Drosophila melanogaster: one gene and its partner. The protein of the gene in region 2 interacts with the protein of the main gene of each other region in a pairwise test. Each region holds a gene or a part of one and is shown on either strand. Other genes may lie near its edges.

Region 1 (4,867 bases), 6.3 Mb from region 2:
GTTGAATGGAATAAACTAGTTTTTCAAATATGGATAAATAGTTAGGAAACAATAACATTTTGTCATGTTTATTTGCAACAACAATTACAATATGTACACATTAAGTTTTAAATATAATGCAAAAGGCACCGGTTCCCTCTTAAGAACAATTAAAAATAGCTTAGACCCAATCCTTGGGGTTCTTCAGGACCTTCATCAGTTTGCCCTCCTCGGACTGGGACTTGGGCTCGTGCATGTACTCCCAGCGGGCGTGCAGGGGCAGGGACATCAGGATGCTCTCGTACCGGGCTCCAGGCGTGTATAGACCGAACTTGGTGCCACGATCGTAGATCAAATTGAACTCCACGTAGCGCCCGCGGCGCAGCAATTGCCACTGTCGTTCGTTGTTGCCATACTCCCGATTTTTGTGCTTTCGTACCAGCGGCACGTAGGAGGGAATCACGGCCCTGGCGCAGCTTGACACAAAGTTGAAGGCCGCCTCCTGGTTGGGCGAATCGATGTCGTCGAAAAAGATTCCGCCAATGCCGCGGCTCTCGTTGCGATGCTTGATGCGGAAGTAGTCGTCGCACCACTTCTTAAAGCGCGGGTAGTAGGTGGGATCGTGCTCATCGCAGGCGGACTTCAGCGTCTGGTGGAAGTGGGAGGCGTCCTTCTCGCAGAGGTAATAGGGCGTCAGATCCGTGCCGCCACCAAACCACCACTGCTTCTCCCCCTTGGCAGTTTCCACTTCAAAATAACGATAGTTGAAGTGAATGGTGGGGACATGGGGATTCCTCGGATGGATCACGGCACTCACACCGCTGGCAAAGAACGGCAACGAGGCGCCCTCCTTCAGATTCTTGCCGCGAGCCCGCATCTGTTGTACTGCAGCCGGGGGCAACGAACCGGTGACCACGGATATATTGACGCCTGCCTTCTCGAACACATCGCCATCCTGCAGGACGCAAGTGATGCCGCCTCCGCCCTCAGGCCGCTCCCACCGGTCCACCTTGAACTTCTGGCCACAGTTCTCCTCCGCCTCCAGGGCGCGGCAAAACTCCGCCTGGATCTCCATGATCAGGATCTCCATGCGATGACGCATGTTCTCCTTGTCCCCCAGCAGTGCCTTGGAGTCGGTGATGGGCTCGGCCATGAACCGCGAGGTGTTCATCTGCACCCCGTTGACCTTTGGGTCGACAGCCTCCGCGGAATGTGCGTACGTGACCGCCGAAAAGCTGGCCAGGCCCAATCCCGTGCCGAGGAGAAAGCCTCTGGCGTGCGGCCCCCTGGTCCGGCGCACCAGTTGAAAGGTGCCCAGCGATACCAGGGATATCGTGTGACGGAGTGCGTTCATTATGTGCTCTCGCCTACTTCAAATTTTTAACTTAACTTAAGTACTTTCGCCGAACGCAGTTTGTTTGTTATCTTTCACTGACCCGGCATTTCTAGTTGCATAGTCGCCGGTGTGACCGTGATATCACCAAAATATACCGAAAATAGGGGGCTCGCGATTTTGTTCTATTTACAGAGATACAAGAAGTTGTAACGTTCTTATAAAAATATTATATATTGTTAAGAACACTAGCTAGCTCAATATGTCTGTATATATACACAAAATAATAATAATAAATAATATATGTTAAAAGTTACGGAGCAGTACAATTGCTTTTAATGGTAGACATATTTGTCTTAATTTTATATTATTATTTGTTATAAGTGATATAACTCCGATGATGTATATGTGTAGTGTCCATTGGAATACCCCATTCAAAAATATAAGCGCAATACGGGCACTCTGTCGTGGCATTTGAAATAAACGACTGCAAAGGCGCGTCGATCGTTGGCAAATGAGCGTGCTGTGAAGAAATCCATGAAATATTTGCGTGTGCGCCTTGAAGATTAAGGAAGATCTGCGTGAATACTATTGCCAGAAGGTAGGTGATCGACTGGAGCGAACTCTAAATCCTCTGAACTATAGTCAACGCGCAATTATACGTGTTTATCCCGTCGACTGGAGTTTTGCACCCAGGACACACGCACACTCGCACACTCACGATGTCTGGCCTCAAGAAATTCCAAAACACTGAGGAATGGCGTCAGAAACTCCGTCAGTTTCTAATGACCGAGCGGTAAATACACATTGAAACCCATCCTTGGATAGTGTTGCACTAGTGTTCGATGAATTTGTAGTCATTTACTTTCAAACAAGCCACCTGCATGTCAAAATTGTTAGAGAAACAGTACGCATAAATAGTTTGGACAGTTTAGACACACATACAATTTAGTTGAGAAAACTAATAACAGTTTTCCTTTTTCAGCTTGCCGAAAAAGCCCGTGAAAATGGACGAAACGAAGGATATGCGCTATAGTTTGGAGATCGACGAGGATTTGAGGAGACCCTTGGAGGCGCGGGCCAAGAAAGTTCTGGCCGTTAATTCTGCCAGTCAAAGGACTGTTAATCTCGGCGAGGATACTATGTACGAGGCAGGTGACTTGGAGCACTTGGACGATGGCGATGATAGCTTCAGTGCCTTTGAGCGCATGTGCGACAAAACCGGTTCCGATCCGGATAGCACTCTTTTCCAGTACCTGCACAGCGAGGACCGGAGTCAGGTGATGGCCAGGGCTAGGGATCATAGCACCGACGATCAGAAAGAGATCGATGCACTGCGTCGCATGCTAGAGGCAGTGGGTACAGAAGACGATCTATTGGAGAACGAAAGTCCCGTCAAGGGGGCGGAGTGCACTCACCTGGAGGACATTGAGGCGCCGTCGCGCTTTTGGGACAACACCCTGGCCGGAATGGACGAGACCTCATCCGACTCTGGGCTGACTCCTAAAGCATTGACCAAGGTTTCGCCTGTCAAAATGGTGGGGCTGCTTCGCCCCTCAACCATCATCGAAGACAGCGAACTGGAGTCGTCTGATGTGTCTTCACACACAAGCTTCCAAAGCGCTCGCACCCTAAAGACAAATGCATCTAGTTCTTACGAAACAGCCACGGATACTTCCCTCAGTGGAACGCTCCTAAACGTCGACGAATTGTTTTACGCCGCAATTGCCAAGGCCAAGCCACCAGGAATGTCCAAGGGAGAGGAGCTGGAGCTCTTAAGCGATCTTCATGGCAGTCTTAGAGAGCTGGCCTCACTTCCGAAGGATGAGGTCGAGGAGGAAGAGGACGATATAGAGGATACAATAATCGAGCTATCCTCTTCTGACGATGAAGAAGTGCAGCTAGTTCCAGAAGTAAAACAAGAAGACACGTCCCGTGTGTCCTCAGTCCACGGAAAAGATCACACTGAGCAGAAACCAGCGGAGAAGAGCGTTGAAAATAAGGAAAATTCGTTGCATTTCAATGATACCATGGAAGAAATGGAGTACATGATGCAAAAGGGTATGGAGTACATGGCAGGTGGGGCTCCTTCAGTCGCCGCAGTCAAGGCAGATTGCCCTGTGCTGCCCAAGACCAAACAAAGCACGTTCGTTGTTTCACCGAAGCCGGAACCAAAATCACCGGCTGTAGCCTTTTTGCAGCCATCAATTCCGCTGCGGTCATCTAATCAGCCACAAACAGTTGTAGGTTCATCTAGCACGGGTAGAAAGCCGCTCAATGTCGGCCTCACCATGGAGTGGACCAAAAAGAAATTTTTCAGTGCAGCCTCTGGTATTCCTCAGCGTCGCCAAAATCAGATAAAGCAGCCATACGCCAACATAGTCAGTCCCATACGCACCTACACCCAGAAGTCTGGTACTGCTCCGCTAATGAGTACATTCCGTCCAACGAGTTCTGATATGCTATCTACACTGGCCATCAGTGAGTTGGAGCAGGAGTCTCGCTTGTGTCATCCTAAAGCACTTTTCGCAACAAAGGACGAAACACCCAAGTCCAGTGAAGCGGAATCTTTAATTATCAATGGAATCGATTCAGCCGCTGATCTGCTTCCCAAAAAGGCTTACATATCTTCCGAAATCAAGCATGTAAGTTTAAATTTATATATAAGCCATGATGAGTGAACGTAAACTAATACCTTCCATTGAACAGGTGGTTGATGAACGAACTCCTTTGCCCATGCCGAAGGTACCTCAAATTCAAAAATACCTCAACTCCGCCGTGGAGCCTACTGTTATGCGCCACGATGGCAAAATGAAAATGCCCGGCGAGGCAGTCCGCAATCCGTCGTCTTCGCATATCCCACGACGCGCCAATCACAGCCTGGCTGATCTGTCGCTCGCCTCAGGCGACGTGTCCTTATACACAATAAGAGATGCCCAAAAGTTTTAAGGCCCATAAAAGTACTTCACGCTCCTTGACTAAATATTGCAACGATAATAAATGTATTGTGTAACTAGTGCTAGTAAATGCCTTCGTTTTCGTTTGATAGTATCAATGCTTGCATCATCACTTAACTCGCGCCTGCGGTCCCTTCCACGCTCGATTAACCTTGGACTCTGAGGTTCTGCCCAGTTCGGTGCAGATGTACCGCCCCACTTGGATCAGTTTGTCTAGGTTGACGCCAGTATCGAGGCCCATGCCGTGCAGTAAGTAGACCACATCCTCGGTGGCTGCGTTGCCTGACGCCCCCTTGGCGTAAGGACATCCGCCCAAGCCAGAAACGGAAGAGTCCACCACCCGAATGCCATAGTCCAGTGAGACCAGTATGTTGCTCAGAGCCTGACCATAAGTGTCGTGGCAGTGCACGGCCAGATCTTTAGCCGGGACGACCTTGGTCACCTCATCCAGCATTCGGCGCATTGTGCCTGGAGTGCCCACACCAATGGTGTCGCCCAATGAGATCTCATAGCAGCCCATTTGGTACAGGGCTTCCACCACTTTGACGACAGCACTCGGCGCAACAGCACCCTCGTACGGGCAGCCAACCACGGTGGA
Region 2 (3,108 bases):
AAAGGCACAAACACAGATGCTCGGCATTAGCAAATAATAGGGATTTGTGGGCGGAGCGGTGGGCGGTGGGTGGTGGGTGGATAACAAAAATAGCTTGAAACTAATCGCCGTCGCAGCTGTAGAAAACAAAGCAAATGCAAAAGTCAATAGACAGTAGACAGTAGACAGTAGCGAAATACAAACGACATTATTAAATTCCCCCGTAAAGTCGTGAAGTGGAAGCCACCCAGCCATCCGATTTGACTTATCGCGACCCCAGTGCGACCCGACATACTCATCACATAACCGCCTACCAACTACCGGCAGCTGTCCCAAGTGATCCGACTCGCTTTGGATGCTTCCTCGACTTGGTGATGGAGATGGTGCTGGAGATCTTGGTCCCAGGCGGCTAATTAAAACGTACCACCTTATTAAATGTCTCGGGGACTTGGGCTTAAGATCACTGTTTCAATTTTTAGAGCTTGAAACTATTCTTCCTGTACTTCCATGCTAATGCTAATGCATTTAACTGAGGCTTTATTTAACTTACTGCAATTTTGTGGCCTAGTAAAATATACATCTGTGTATACCCTCAAAATGAAAAGGCAGAACCTTTTACTGCCTATTTCTGTTTCTACTAGTAAGTAGTAATGAAAGTATAAATCAAACAATTGGTGTCAAGCGTGGCCGTGCTAACAGCTCTAATGCTAATTCTGCTTTTTGCACCTTACGGCAATTTTTAAAGTGCTTGATTAGTGATTATTTAGTCACGTGTGTCTAGTAGGCAACGTACGTCGATTTTGTCAAAGCTTAAAAGGTTGGAAATGAGTCATACGCGTACAACAAATCTTTATACTAATTCGGAAAACCTCAGTTCTTAACAAACAAATAAGTAGGTTATTTTACGCAGGCCAATTTTCGAATACTTTTTTTTTTAGGATCGTTTTAAGATGCGCTGAGTTTACAACGATTTATCAAGTGACCTGGCACAAAAGAGATAAACGCACGTTATCAGCAGACGCAGACTGTCTACAGGAATGTGCCCTTTTGCAACCCCAAATAGACGTCATCTTATCGTCATCTTCGGCATTAAACTGCAAACCCAGAAATGGCACTCCGAGTTCCAAGAAGTGATATCTAAAAAAAGGGAAACAAACGGAAAACAAAAGATCAGTGCCACACACACCTTATCAACAGCAGGATACAAAGGGAGTTGGACAAATGAGGCCGCAAAACACTTTTCGAATAGAGGCCAATTGAACAAGAGTAGCCCAAAATCCATATATGTATATATATATATGACTTTTACAAAAGGCGGCGACATTGAAAAACACAGCAGATAATAGATTTGAAAGAGGAACAAACACGAATTGAATGAACCCAGACAATCGATGGGCGCGCATTTCGCCACCTACTGATCCGGAAAAACTCGGATTGTATTGTATCTGAAATTCAAAAGATCCCAGCTGAACGCACGCAAGAATAAACATGACCAGTAGATAGGGATGCCCAACGGGTGGGCTTACAAGTAGGTAAGTGGGATGGGTTGGGTTTTGGGTTTGGGTTTGGGTATGGGATTGGGTGGCATGTACGCGTGCGCAGGCAAATCGAGCGGGTTTATGATCTTGTTTTCGTTTTGCAAAAAGAAAATTCGTCGTCGATTTGTGTAAACAAAGTTATAAAAGTTGTGGGGGGATTACGAAGAGCGGCAGATAAGGCTTTCGCCATATAAGCTAGTGTACCAATCCACAGGACAGCATTCAATCGAGAGTCTTCGAGTAGAACACACATAGCATAACCATAGCATATCATACCATACAATGGAGCACCATCAGATCTATCGCCACAAAAAGTTCGACATGGGTCGAAAGATTGAGAAATGCGATTTGCAGCTGAAGGAAGAGCTAATCTCCCGGAGCGGCACACCCTGCACCAGTCGGAGTCCTTTCGATGCGGCAAATCAGTCCGTCAGCTTGGGTTTCAGTGATCAGGATGCTGACTTTCCTCCACTGCCAAAGCGTCGTCGTTTGGGATCCTCATCCTCAAGCGTTTCCTACCAATCCGCCAGCCCCATCATAACCGAGGCCATCCAAGACATCTTCAAGTACCACGTCAATATGGTGCGAAAATTCCCGAAGAAGGAGCGTTCACCGAAGGATCAGGAGCGCCGCAACAAGAACACAATTGCCTGCAGGATGAGTCGACGGAAGAAGAAGTTCGATGACCTGCAGATCGAACAGCAGTACAAGGAGTGCTCCGATGAGCACCTCAAGATCGCCGAACAGAGTCTGCGTGCCAGGGTCTATTTGAATCATCTGAAGCAGCTGGTCAAGCAGGAAGACCACCCGCTAGTATCCTCAAGGAGAGTTCCGGAGGAGAATACCAAGAGTAACTTTAGCATCGACTACCTGATAGGTGGTATTAAACAGGAGCATGCTTAGATACGTCCATCTCCTTTTAGGATTGTATTATATAGTTATTATATTAATGCTAAGTTGTTAAGTTTCTTCAAGAACTTTTAGTGCTAAGAAATTTAGTATATATTTAGTATAAATGCCTTAAAAGGTTAAGCAGGAACTTCTTAATAAATAAAATATGAGGATTTAATTTTTACGGCTAATTGATTTTTTATCGTGTGCTTGACTTTTAATCTTCCTTCTAAAAATGGTATAAATATTAATTTATGACATTGGCAGAAAAAGTAATCAAGCGCTAATGAAGCAATGAATATATTAAAAATATATATAAATAAATTTAATAAAATATAATAAAGCGTGGAGCCATCGAAATAAATCCCAATTAATCCCCAGGGGTAGTTCGCGTGGTGTCACAGGCAATCATCAGCCCCTGGAGCAAATCGTTATTGGTGACCCCATCGACTATTGCCTCCCCCCATGGAGAATATCAAGCCAGTCGGATAAAGTTCACTGGGTATTAACCCTGCACCCTGGTCAAACCACTGGCAATAGAGCCGTAAACCGATTGAAACCGCAGCTACGGGAATGTGGGCTTAAATAATAACTACTCCTATTCCCGTCCATCGCTCAGCTGTCATTGTCGCACTTAAAGTTAAACTAAACACTTTAGCTATTAGTAGCTACGATATTTTCAAATACATTGTAATCGAAT

Evidence for each region.
Region 1: the proteins of Mabi (region 2) and sip2 interact in a two-hybrid assay, tested with the Drosophila melanogaster proteins (one large-scale study listed by BioGRID).

Annotation. Positions count from the first base shown.
Region 1 is NT_033779.5:6,960,985-6,965,851, reverse strand, and holds sip2 (septin interacting protein 2), read left to right. Parts: upstream 1-1,777; 5' UTR 1,778-1,913; intron 1,914-1,996; 5' UTR 1,997-2,034; coding exon 2,035-2,108; intron 2,109-2,175; exon of another isoform or gene 2,176-2,196; coding exon of another isoform or gene 2,197-2,219; exon of another isoform or gene 2,220-2,297; coding exon 2,298-3,957; intron 3,958-4,021; coding exon 4,022-4,261; 3' UTR 4,262-4,336; downstream 4,337-4,867. Other genes in the region: Coprox (coproporphyrinogen oxidase), read right to left, coding at 161-1,333; Hmgcl (3-Hydroxymethyl-3-methylglutaryl-CoA lyase), read right to left, coding at 4,379-4,867.
Region 2 is NT_033779.5:13,233,287-13,236,394, reverse strand, and holds Mabi (mabiki), read left to right. Parts: upstream 1-1,734; 5' UTR 1,735-1,799; coding exon 1,800-2,420; 3' UTR 2,421-2,597; downstream 2,598-3,108. UniProt on the Drosophila melanogaster protein: Plays a role in inducing apoptosis and is involved in the repair of head patterning defects in the embryo caused by extra maternal copies of the homeotic gene bicoid.